Linked DNA regions of Nothobranchius furzeri. The protein of the gene in region 2 purifies or fractionates together with the protein of the main gene of each other region. This does not show direct contact. Links are inferred from orthologs where the notes say so. Each region holds a gene or a part of one and is shown on either strand. Other genes may lie near its edges.

What was found. The genes of interacting proteins can lie anywhere in the genome.
Region 1: the proteins of med20 (region 2) and cdk8 purify together in Homo sapiens (affinity purification with mass spectrometry; 8 studies listed by BioGRID and IntAct, counting the BioPlex papers as one, with this or other methods). This does not show direct contact. The link is inferred for Nothobranchius furzeri from reciprocal best matches to the Homo sapiens genes MED20 and CDK8.

The regions. Positions count from the first base shown.
Region 1 is NC_091747.1:51,004,775-51,012,555, reverse strand, and holds the start of cdk8 (cyclin-dependent kinase 8), read right to left. Parts: upstream 4,358-7,781; 5' UTR 4,156-4,357; coding exon 4,028-4,155; intron 1,059-4,027; coding exon 983-1,058; intron 1-982. Other genes in the region: E3 ubiquitin-protein ligase RNF6, read left to right, coding at 5,690-5,726, 6,752-6,907, 7,156-7,320, 7,470-7,781.
Region 2 is NC_091743.1:46,651,445-46,657,376, reverse strand, and holds med20 (mediator of RNA polymerase II transcription subunit 20), read right to left. Parts: upstream 4,653-5,932; 5' UTR 4,561-4,652; coding exon 4,547-4,560; intron 4,135-4,546; coding exon 3,989-4,134; intron 2,794-3,988; coding exon 2,540-2,793; intron 2,457-2,539; coding exon 2,235-2,456; 3' UTR 2,046-2,234; downstream 1-2,045. Other genes in the region: bysl (bystin), read left to right, coding at 4,921-5,194, 5,497-5,653, 5,769-5,907. UniProt on the Homo sapiens protein: Component of the Mediator complex, a coactivator involved in the regulated transcription of nearly all RNA polymerase II-dependent genes.

The DNA of each region.
Region 1 (7,781 bases), on a different chromosome or scaffold from region 2:
TTTCTATTTATGCTTGTAAACGGGTTATTCTGATCAACTCAGAAACCCGAATCCCGACCTTAACCCGATCATAACCCGGATATTGGCTGTATGTAAACGTAGTCATTGACGGCTCTCGGTTGTGGGGTGGGTTCTACCGTTGTCTTTCAAATAATCTCCGCATTCCACTGGACAATGAATGTGACATACTCTTGTTTCACTCTGTTGCATCATCCCACCCACCAGGCATATAGAGTGCCCTGATTGGCCCATAAAGCGGATGAAGCTCTGTGATTTGTTCACTAAGCAGATAGAGCACTATGATTGGCCCACCATTATGGACCAATCACAGCTCTTTATGTGTTTGAAACCCCTCTAGAGAGCTGTGATTGGCTAGCCAGAGTCCTGGTAGGAGCTGCGGAGGTTCCAATGGAGCGTGCCTAGACCAAACTTTGCAAAGCAAGAATTTGGTCTAGTTCACTAGGCTAGGGGTCTCTATTAACACTAAAAATGTGAAAAGAAATCAGTTGCCTTTCAGTGTTTGGTTTTAGAAATTATGAGCTTAAAACAAGCCGTTTCAAACATTCCCAGTTTGTGATGTCACAGTTGGTAAAATTAGCACCGAACCACCTTTGGTGCAAGAGAGAGCTGCTGCTGGAGGATCAGCAGCTCTACTCCGAGCCCCTCCCTGATATCTGAGCTTCTCAGCCTATAGCAGCCTGACAGGGGGTGCATGGGCATGGCCAGCACCAGCTTGTTTTCTGAAAGGGCTCATTCTGGAAGGAATTGAAAAACTGCTTATATTACTTTACGTGAGAGGAATTTAGTACAAATAACTTCTTAAACGTGTTTTGCATCAAGAACTTTTATAACTTAAGTCGTCATGTGTCTCCTTTAGACTGCGGAACGATGGACAGGTTAATTTCAAACTAGCTCCCACACTTGGGAATGACACGATCTGCTCCTCGCAGACCAAACAAAAGAAAAAACAAGCAGCTCTTACTGCAATCTCTCGGCAGGCTGACATGGAGATGCCAGTGCCTTCAATCTGCTTGAGGGCGTAGTCCTTATCATCCTTCCTACAAACACAGAAAAAGAGGCAGAGCAACATCAACAACAGACAAGGCTGCAGGCCCCCAGAGAGCAGGCTGCACAGCAACAGAAGAAGGCATGGAAGAGGAGGAGGGGGCACTTGACAGCTGGCATGGGGACTCAGGAGAAAAAGTTGCATTACCTCCAGATTTGTGTAATCAAGCTCACCTCAGAGACTCTAAACAATAAGAAAGGGGAGAGAAAGCAGACGCTGTCTGGCAGCAGGTAAAGGACAGAGTACTGGGACTGGCTCGAGTCGCACTTGAATGCAACCACTACCTCACTCAAACTTCCCTAAATCATTTCATAAACCCCAGATTCCTCAGTCCAAAGGTGGCAGCATAACTTAGTTAATGGACTCTCATGAACAACACAAACATCTTTTAGGTGTGTGGCTCCAGCTGGTATGAAGTTCTAGGACTCAGATGGGCTTAAAGATATTGTATTAGAACGTTTTAGAAAGTAAGGCGATGCCAGCAACGTTTTAACAGCTGAACCCTGAAACCAAAAATGCCACTGTTGCATTTTCTCCTCGCTTTTGATTTCAGGCCACTTTTCCGTCACAAATTTTTAAAAGTCACAACATATTGGGGCAAATTTGTCATAAAACACAAAATACGGCATCAAATAAAAGAGCTTTAGCTTCTTCTGATATAAATATTCTATATGATCATTATCTTACCAGTTCTGGGAAAATTGATGGAGGGAGTGATGTTTAAACAGATTCAACATTATTTTAGGGTGAATGGCATTTACACTGATGTTCAACATGCTTACAGAGAAGGATTTTCTACCAGTACGGCACAGACTACTCTTACTGATGAATGGTTGGGACAGATTGATAGGAAGCTGCTGGTGGGAGCAGTGCTTCTGGATTTTAGTGCTGCATTTGATATTGAGGATCATGACATTTAACTTTTGAAACTATCAGCGTATGGTTTTAACAAGACTGCTATCAATTTTATGAGTAGCTACTTGACTAATAGAAAACAATGTGTTATATTTAATGGTAGTCGGTCAAACACTGGCACTCTTTTGTGTGGGATTCCCCAAGGAAGTTGCTTGGGTCCTTTATTATACAGTATATTTGTAAATGATATGACTTTTGCATGCAGTGAAGCGCACATGACTCTATATGCGGATGATACGACCATATCTGTTTCAGCTTCAAGTTTAGTTCAGGTCAATGTTATGCTTCAACAGGAGTTAAAGTCTATCTCTGAGCGGGTAGAGGGAAATAAGCTAAAATTGAATGTATTAAAAACCAAGTGTATGCTATTAGGCTCTAGGAATTTGGTAAGAAAAACCCACCAGTTAGACATTTATTTATGGGGACAACAAACTGAACAAGCAAAAGAGACCAAACTACTGGGCATAACATTGGATCAATCAATGTCATGGACTACACATATTGATAATATTGTAAAGAGAATGAGTAGGAGCATTTATGTAATTAGGAGCAATGCTCAGTATATGTTACTGGAGACCAGAAAACTTGTTGTACAGTCTCTGGTTTTGTCTCATCTGGATTACTGTTCAGTTGTTTGGTCCAGTGCAGCAAAGACAGACCTTGACAAGCTTCAGAGAGCTCAGAACAGAGCTGCGAGGTTGGTTCTTGGTTGCCCTTTTAAAACTAATATCCACTGGATGTATTTTAATCTGTCATGGATGAGTGTAAATGACAGACCGGCCTGCAGCCTGGTTGTGTCGTTACACAAAATCTGGGTTTTACATAAACCTTTCAGCTTGTTTACAAAGTTGTTACCAACCTGTGAGCGGCATGGTTTTAACACAAGGAATGCCTCTCATTTATCTTTACTCTTCCATTGCCAAGAACCAATGCACTTAAAGGAACAGTCATTTACAGAGCAGTCACATGCTGGAATATCCTGCCTCCTGAACTAATAACAATAAATGTTCATGATGCGTTTAAAGTGAATCTCAAGAAATTTGTAAAACATAAGCTTATATCAGACAACAGTTACAGCTATTTCAATCAGATTAATAGATTTTAGATTTATAGAATTAACACCCTGACACTTTATTGTTTTATTGATTCATTGATCCATTTTTAAATTGACTTTTTAGTGCTTTTTTATGATTTTGTTTTATGAGGTTGATTATAGGAGTTTGTGTTTTTCTTACATTGTATATGAAATATTGTACTTTTAATCCTACACTGTCTATGTGATATTGTATGCATTTTCTTTTTGTTTCTTTTATCAAGTGGACCCCAGGAAGAATAGTTTTCACTATTGTGAAGACTAATGGGGATCCTTAAATAAACAAATATGAAATATTCTGTTTAATCCAGCACACAAGCCAAAAAAACGTGATTTTTTTTACTTTGCAGTAAAAACATTCATTGAACAAAACAGCTTAATTTTATACGGCGTGTAACATTTCTATTATCTCAAAAACATATGGCTTCCCAATAATAATAATACAGTATCAAATAATTAAAATAAACATTAACAGCAGCAATAATGAGAGCTACTTAAACTGAAGTTAATAGCATATATATTTAACAGATTTGTTATAATTTAAATAATTAAAAATAATCTCACTTTATGTTCTGCTACTGAATCATTTTGTTTTTAATTTTCAAGTATATTTGATCATCACTTTTATTAGTATTTCCACAAATAAACATTGTTTTGGCGCAAATGTTAATTTCTGCAGGAGTTTTCTCACTTGCATATGATAAAATTAGATATATTCAAACTCCATCTAATGAATATTCATTTGTAAAAATATATAAAAGACCGACACCAAAAACAGTATAAATATGCGCTACAGTCGTGTTGCAGAAATAAAGACATCCCATAATAAAGAGAAGACGGTGCTAAAGCTACAGAACAGGGCCTTTGTGCCAGAAAACGTGAGGAAGCGGTTTAAATGTGTTAATCTGAGGGAGGGAGGCTGACTGCTGAAGGCCTGCTGCACTTCAACTCACCCATCTTTTCTCTTCGCCTTATACACATGACCGTAAGTGCCTCTTCCCACTTTGCATCCTTCGTACTCAAACAGGTCCTCGACACGCTCTCGTTCTCCAGTTAGCTTCACTTTAAAATCATAGTCCATTTTCACCTCGGTTTGGGTAAATGTCTAAGCGCCGTCCTTATTCTTCTTCTTCTTTTAAAGCGTCGCTTGGGAGGCAGCTGGGCTCCTCCACCGAGCTCGGGTTGGTATTTCAGATAGTTGCCTTACCCAGCGTGGCTCTTTCCTCTTTCAACCCAGCTTACGTGTCGAGTTTTCGGGTCAAATTGAATGTTCCGAAGAGGGGTACGCGACGCTTGGAGGTAGTCCTAGTGGAAACTAGCTCAATTGTTTATTTCTTTCTGTTGTTGCTGCGTTTCCCCCCAGCCGGTATCTGCTCCAAAGAGACGTACATAGTCGGCAACGACAGCACTGTCGTAAAACGTCGTAAAGACGGTCCTGCAGCGGAGAAAAGAGGATGGAAACATGGGATAAGCAGACCCAACCACGTTGAAATACGTGTCTAGAACCTCATCAGTAACGCATTTACATTGTGAAAACAGCGTTTTTTTATTTTAGTGTCGTGTTACAGACAGGAAACCACCAAAAAGCGTTTTTATTGGTTAAAAAAGCCCTTCAATTAGATTTTGTAAATAAGAAACAAAATATCCATCTTTTAAATTTTAAGCAAATAAGAAAATTGGGCCTATTTAATTCAGTAAGTTGTCAATACCCAATAATTGATGGAAGTGTTTGACAATTTATAACAAACCCCCATTTATGACATCTTCAAGGGTTTATCCATATAAGTAGCGGTGAGTTGAAGAGGTAAAAAGTAATTTGTTGGAGGACAATTTTGTGGAGGGACATCTGTGTCCCTTTTGGATTTCTCTTTATCATGGATTCACAATGACAGTGCAACACTTGTATTTGTCTTCAATAAAAGCTAATTTCTATCTCTGTTAACTAATCACTGTGAATTTATGTTTTAACAACAGAAACATAGATGAAAAGATGCCATTCATTTTAAAGAGGTGATTAGATAAAATGAGTACAGAAGTTGGTCATAGTTAGTAGGAAAATTGCATTATCGGGAACTGGAAACAATAGAATTCTTACTATGAACTCATTTTACAATGCATTTGAATTTGCATTTGGCTCACAGTTTGGATCTTCTTTTATTTATTTGTTTGTTTATTTCTAGGATTTACTAACAAAAACTGTTTTAAAGGCTCTTTACTTTATCCAGAACTGTCAGCATTCTTTGACTAGCTCATTCATACATCGTCTCTTATCTTTTTGTGTGGAGAGAATAGCCGTGATAGTAAATAAATAGTGACAAATTAGCTACTCTTCTTAGATTTACGTTGATTAATGAAGATCATCTAGAAATTACACCCACTGGTGTTTCATGACCTACTCTTGGATCGTGATCTCAGTCATTTTTAGGAGGACCTGCTTATAACAAATGTTAAAGTAAAATGTACACAATTTCATTTTAAATACAGCATAAATTAATTATTTTTGATAATGTTGATCTGCCTTTCAAACTGGTTAAAAAACCAATAAACATCTCTTTGGACAGTATTGTTTTGTAGGAACTAAGAAAATGCGGTGCTTGTTTCAGACGGACGGTTTAATGCTTGTACCGCTGGTCCCATCTTGGGTTGTGAGAGGTGAGAGCTGAGCCAACCGTCCATATTATAACTGCCTTGTCAGGTATCTAAATCTTATAAATTTTAATGTCACGTCTCACGAGAGTATGATTTCTTTAACTTGTGTGTTTCGTGTGTGTTAACTGATCGATAAAATAATTCCCCATGGTAATGTGTTTCTTTTTTTTCTCGGAGCTAACACTGGGCATCGACTGATTGCTGGCTGTGCTAACATGTTCAGTTAACACTCGGAAGCGTTGCGCATTGAATTTTACGCTTCGCAGTTTATGAAGGGTCCACAAATCGTGCTCGTGCGTTTGTGCGACAACACATAATTTCACTGTTGATGGCATACATCTGAATCATTCTGCTGTTTGATTATGCGGACAGGATTCTTTGTCTTTGCTTCGATGCTCTGCGTCTACATGGAGGAAGCCTCCGTTAGCCTCGCTTGGCCCGCCTTTGCCGAACAGCGATTGGACGCCGGGCGTGACCGTCACCGAGGCTAGACCGCTGATTGGTCGCTGACCATGATGACAGCGGCACTTTTGTTGCTTTACATTAGCCGTGGCCTTCGCTCGATATAAATCCACTTGTTTAAAATTAGCTTTCATGAAGACTACATCGGTATTATTTGTCTTATTAGCTGTCTTGTACTCTTGTTATTTTTTTCCACATGACAAAATAGTTTAACTTCTGACGCTAACACACAAGCTAAATGTTAGCTAGATTATTGCAGTAGCTCTTGTAGAAAATGGTTGACGTTGGTTTTCCTCTCGGCCTTTTAAAAGACTGATCAGGTTTGAATTTGCATTTCTTGTTGAGCTGCAACGCACCACAGCATATTGAGTGCGTATATACCTCAAACTCAAATGTTATTTACTCATCTTTCGACTTAAGAATGGAGCTGTTATCAGTTTTGACTGCATTCTCTTGTTTATATGCATCCATAACAAATTTTCACTTAGGTAAAGCTGCTGTGGGTAGCTTTGCGTGTCACTGTCACTTTCCATCATCAGCTGATGATTTGCTCATCTGCTTCCCAGCACTCTCCATGGTGATGGACCCTCCTGGTGGGGGAGATGAACGCCAGAGGCAGGCAGAGCGTCTTCGACGGGAGGAGGCATACTATCACTTCATAAATGAACTGAGTGAGGAAGAGTACCGTCTCATGAGAGACAGCAACCTGCTGGGCACCCCAGGTGAGGAGTCACCCACTAGTTTAGGTCCAGGCCAAACTGTCACTTTACATGAGTCTTTACTTGATGTTGCAGCCCCAAAGGTTTTCTGTGAATGTGAAAAATGTATCTAGTACTTCCAAACCAGAATTAAAAAAAAAAAATAATAATAATTTTAATTATGTTTTTCTGTCTTTGGAGCATCTAAGCACAGAGGTGTTTCTCTGGTGCTCATGTCTCAAAACACCCTCAATGTGCAAAATATTTTACAGGGGAGGTTACTGCAGAGGAGCTGCGACAGCGTCTGGATGGAGCAAAAGAGCGTGTGTTGTCTCAGCCCGGCACTGAGCAACGCTCACAGACTGCTGACGCTGGAGAACAACAGAGCAGTAGCAGCGGGGGAGAGGAGAGAGGTGCTGGAGGAAGAGGAGGGGCAGGTATGATGTTCTTGTGTTTATCTGACTTTTCTGGTTCCATGGTTAGGATTAAACAAACCAGACAATAGCATTCACCAGGAATTTTGGGACTTAAGATAACTGCAAATGTTTTCTTACTAAGTTCTAACTTTTTAAAAACATTTTGACAGGGAACACAGAACCTGGAGCAGAACCTTCTAATGGCGATTCATTACTGGAGTGGCTCAACACTTTCAGACGTACTGGTAATGCCACCCGGAGTGGACAGAGCGGCAACCAGACATGGCGGGCTGTTAGCCGGACCAACCCCAACAGTGGGGAATTTCGTTTTAGCTTAGAGATCAACATAAACCACGATCAACCTGAGCCTGGAGAGCATAATGACGGTGTGAACACCGCAGATACTGCAGAGCTGACTCCTTCAAACACAACAGCACCCTCTACACGCACTGCTTTCTCACTCTCCAGCTCTCGCCCTTCAG
Region 2 (5,932 bases):
ATAGAACTCATGATATGCTACATTTGCATTTGCATCTAACAAAACAAAACAATTATCTATAGTAGCTAGGTCATGTTGTATATGGTAAAGGTCGTCTGTATATTTGTAAAAAAAAAAAAAAAGTAAAAAAAAAGACATTTAGTTATTGTGAGAAAAGCATTTCAGTATTTGCCAAAACAATTTCTTAAATATTGCAAAGTATTAAATTATTGTAAATACTAGTAATTGTTTAAAAAGAAAACTAGATATTTTGCCACATAGACAATAAATGCATAGGAGTATTATAAGTGAAAAATTGTTACACATCTTTAATATTTGTAAAATATAGAACAATGAAAAACTAAATATTTAATTTTAAAATAACTACGTTTATGAGAGATTTATCTCTTTAATAAGATTTGTACTACCCTGAGCCCGGCGCGGTTCCATCGGCCCGGCCCCCAGCAGCGCCGAGGGGTGCTGCTGAGCCAAGCAGGCCCAACAACATTCATCGTGTCGCGATGAGCACGGGACCAGAGGACGACGGTTGCAGATGAGTGGAAGAGATGCCAGGAGGAAGAGCGGGTGGACGAGGTAAAGAAATGGCCACAGAAGACCTGGAGGAGGTCAAAAGTAACATCACAGCAGGATCGATTAATGAGACTGATGGAGGAGGTGAAGGAGCTTAAAATACTGCTAACTGAAGATAAGAAGATTTCGGCCTAAGAGCAAAGAGTTGATGAACTTGAACAATATACTAGACGAGAGGATTTGGTGATAATGGTGGAAACCCGACACAGAAGCTACGCAAAAGCAGTAGAAGATCACGACGCAGCAGGAGAGGCGTCAGACAAAGAGCCCGAGACACTAGAGCAGCAAGCGGTTACTTTTCTGCACAGCAAGAACATAACTACTCAAAGAGATACTATCATCAGAACTACTCAAAGAGATACTATCATCAGAAACCTGCAGTGAACACGTCTGTTTTCCTCTAGTGGAAGACCTGTGTATTACAGGCGACAGGTAATAATAATTATACAGTTATATTTAATTACATAAATAATGTAATCACTAAGTCATTTAGTTATATAGTCCAGTAAACTGTTCATTTTATAACGTGTGTGTATTTTAATTTAATGCGTCAGACATGTGAAGGGTTAAACTGTTCTAACTTCAAATATGGAAACATTTCAACTTAGTTTTTACATCTTCTCCCCACATGTATTTCATGTACATTTTTAACTTTGGTCTTTATTTTGAATTAAGTCTCATTAGATGACTTTTCTTTACATTCCTAAATAATGTTATTGATAAGAAGCATCTCACTCTTGAATGTGAATTAAGTGATTTGTTGAAGTGCATGTGGGAGTTCTTGTTTTGTGTTCTAATCAAACCTTCAGGTCTTTGGGTTAGGGACCGGTGAACATCCAGGGAACAGACATTGAGGTAGTGGACTCTTATAATGACCTGGGTGTTCACCTGAACAGCAAACTGAGGCCATAACACAGATATTCTTCAGTAAGGGCCAGAGCACACTACCCGCTGATGCCACTGAGGTCCATTGGAGTGCAGGGGGTGCTCCTACAGACCTTGACTAAATGGTGGCATCAGCCATCTTTGATGGTGTGGTTTGTTAGGTCAGCAGCATAGCTACTGCTGAAAGACAGAGACTAGATAAGCTTATTGACACTACATCTGCCCTAGGATTTCTCCTTGATCTAGTGCAGGAGGTGGGATACAGGACTGGCTAAATTAGCATCACTTTTACACAATGTCTTCCACCCCATGCATGAAGCTGGGGAACTCCTACAGCGGCAGAATGCTGCATCCATTGGTGCACGGAGAGTAATCCCAGGTCCCTATTTACACATTTCTCCTTTCATGCCATCACTCCTCATTATAAACTTCGTCTATCTGCACAGATTTTTTTTATTCGATTGAATGTTTTAAGAATTTCTTGCATATGTTACAGGATTTTGTTCTTCTTTGCTCCTGATGTGAATGATTGCTGCTGTGACACCAACATTTCCCCACCGAGTGTAAGGAATTTTTACTTCTTGCAGAAATAGGTAGATTTTTGTCTTTATTTTTGTCTGTGTTGAGCATTTGCATCTATAGATTGTAGCTGTATTCCTTTTAACTGTATCAGGGTAAACAAATACAAAACTGAAGTTACAAAAATAGAACTATACAAATCATACGGTTTCCATAGGACCACATTTAACACACATCAATACAATCATTAAAAAATGTTATTAGTGCACATTGCTTCCTGTGATTTGTAACTTCCGTAGCTTGTTGAACAACTCCAGGTACTGAGTCATGGTGTCGACAGAGTCTGCTGGTGCAAAAAGACCCTCAGGCTTGGCAGCAAATACAGTGGGAAGCTCAGGAACATTGTTGCCAAGAAAAGACAGCATGAACTCCTTCATGAGGTTCCAGCAGTCCCCTGGAACCACACAGGGACAGTACTCCACCTGAGGAAAACACATCAAGGGTTAATCCTGTCAAAAAAGAGAACAATGGGCCTCTGGTCTAACTGATAATACCAAACTGTCACCTCCACTGATATCCCTCGAACACTGGAACTCATTGTGACCGTGCCAACTTTAATCAAGAAGTCACAGTAGCGATATCTCGAACCGCGACACTCCACCTTGTGTCCCTTGGCATTCTGGAAATGGGTCTTCAGCTTCACCATGAGGACGTCAAAGTTTGTGTCCGCTACCAAACAGGGTCCTCCTTCAAACAGAGCCAAGCAGCTCAGGGGAAATTCAGAGTTGTGCATTACATAAAGGAGCTTGGAGGGCTGACCTGTAACAAACCCAGACTTAAAGTGAGAAATTGCATGAAGAACAGCAAAATGTAACAATGCAATTTTTGCATAATGACTTTGCATGATTTTTTTATTTTTGGACACAGATTAGAGCAGCATGCTTATTAAGTTTAAAATTACACAAGTAAGTAGTAGAATCATACCATGTCCTGTTTATATAAATGTTGCTTATGAGGGATGCGAGAGCAGACACCTTTTTTTCTGGAGGACACTTGAGCTAAATTAGATCATGATTTACTGCTCTGCTAATGGACTCATTGGTGGAAACCTGGAAAAAAAAGACTAGTAGTAACTTAGAAAGATAAATGCCAAATCAAACGTTTATAGACCCCGGGTTGCGGATGTTTATAAAACATAAAAATAAAAACTATTTTTCAAGGAGCTTAATGTAAATGGCCTGTGTTTGTATAGCACCTTCACAGGGTTCTACATCCCCCCAAAGCACTTCACAACACAGTCACTCACACACACACATTCACACGCTGGTGGGAATGAGCTATGATGTCACTACAGATGCCCTGAGGCGCACTGACAAAGGCGAGGCTGCTGAGCACTGGTGCCATCGGCCCCTCTGACAACCACCAGCAGGCAAGGCAGGTTAAGTGTCTTGCCCAAGGACACAACAGCAGAATTCTTTGGTCTGAGCCGGGATCGAACCTGCAACCTTCTGGACAACCCGCTCTACCTCCTGAGCTACTGCTGTCCCATTTAAACAAATTTAAGCGGATTCTTGCAGTGGATGGGGCTTTTTAAATGTTCCTGACTTCTGGGGAAAGATACAGTGGAAACGTGGCTCATTTAACCTTGCATAACATAGTAATGAAGATTTACAGAAAACCTTTCTAAAACACACCAACTGTATTTTAATCTGGCTATTTTTACCCAATGGATGACTGTTTTTGTTAACCTTACAGAGAAATAAGATCAGTAAAAATGAAAATTACATAGCTTGACAATATATTTGTCACAAGGCACACATATCCTGGACAATTGAGTTTAAGTCAAATATTTGACATAATTATTAGAACATTTTCAAAAAGCAGAATTTAATCAAAGAAATATGACAAATTCCCCTGCAGCAAGTTGTATTAATAGCAATGCAGAAGACTATCCATCTAAAGCACCTAAACAACAGGAATGATAATATTTATATGGTTAATAGCTGAAAATTACCGCCAGCGTTTACTGTTGATTGATATGTTTCACAGTCTACACAGAAGTTGCCCTGCTTCACAGCTCCAAGCTGCTCCAGCTTCTTATGCAGAATGTCCACTGTCTGTTGGACACTCTTCCCCTCCGCCACGGGCACCTGGCAAACACTGCACAGCACAAGAACAACACAACACCGTGAAGCAACCTGTTCAAAATTGATCATGTGCAATAACATTTGAATGTCCTATTTCTGTTTACTCAATATGCTAAAATTCTGCTTACTGAACCCAACTAATATATATATTACTGTTCATTTTACATTTATATTATTTCTGTATTATTTTTTGTATAGTTTTCCATTTTGCACTAAAGAGAGTGGCACTCTAATTTCGCTGTACACCGTACAACGACAATAAACACTATTCTATTCAGTGTAAAACGGTTTGGAAGCAAATAAAGGCTACATTCACCGAGTTAGCTACACATGCCAAACGAAATCATATGCACAGCGTGATAAAATATATTACAAAAATATTATTACAGTTAGCATTTAACTACAACATAAGTAAATCTGCTTACCAAGTAACACCCATTGATTTCTCGCCTGCAAAAAACACTCGTGAAGCAATTACTTCCGGATTAACATTTACACTTCCGGTGCACGTAAACGACCTTGTTTCAGAAAATTAAAAAACAAACTCAAGAAACTTTATAATCATATTGCATAAATGTATGTTACATACAAACATATAAAATCAACATCATATAAAATGGTATGTTATATATATGTTTTTCAGTGCACAGACGTTACGTATATCGTCACTTCCGCCGTACGGTAATCTGCACGTGTAGAATACAGACTGTTTACAGAATTCTTTCTCCGCGTTGTTTGTGTCTCTAATGGTAAAACAAAACACGGACAGCGTCGTCGCAGCTTGAGTCACTCTTGAAAGATGCCGAAAGTGAAAAGAGCTAAAGGTGGCGGTGGAGGAGAGAAGAGTGGCGGAGGAGGAGCGGTGCCACTGGCCGACCAGATCCTCCAGGCGGACACGATCCGAGCCCGAGGCCGGGTGAAGAATCGAGACGCCCGGGTCGAAAGTGAGGACACCTACGTGGATGAACGTCTGTCAAGGAAAATCTTACAACAGGCCCGGATTCAACAAGAGGAGTTGCAGACCGAGTATGGCCTGGCACCTGAGCAGAGGAAAGCACCAGTCACTGTTCTCGGTATGATGGAGGGTTTCGGACCTTAAATTGGCAGTATTTTTTTTAATTAAGTCTGGTTTATCAAGCGTAGAAACCACGAAAGTGTTTTTGTAATTAGTTATACGGTGTTACTTATGCAACATCCCTTTATTTCTCTGCAAAAATAAAACTAATGACGAATGTTTTTTATGTGGACAAAATGTCAGACGATCACAGAGAAAAATAGTTCCCAGCGTGATCTTCTCAGAACTATTTAGGTGAAATAAGTCTTTGCTGAATGCATGAATAATATTTTCTAATGTTGTCTGACCTGTTTATTTTAGGCCCTGAGTCCCAGGATGCTGACTCAGATGAAGATTGGCCAGTTCTGGGAGAAGCAGGTGCTGGGGATGGTGATGTGGAGGGTGATACTGAAGTCATCGTTGATTCTGATGATGAGAAGGCCATTGAGATGTTCATGAATAAAAACCCTCCAATGAGGCAAGATTTCTCACAACTTTGTTTGAATTCTAGCTGTTGGAATTTGCTAAAGTCCACTTTGAGGTTAAGTTTATGTTCGTATACTCAGCTGTTTTCCTCTTTGTGACCATCACAGGCGGACCTTAGCTGATATTATCATGGAGAAGATCACAGAGAAGCAAACCGAGGTGGGAACAGTGATGTCTGAGGTATCAGGGGTTCCAATGCCCCAGCTGGACCCTAGGGTGACCGAGGTCTACCGGGGTGTCGGTAAGGTAAGTTATACAGTTGTTTGTGTTA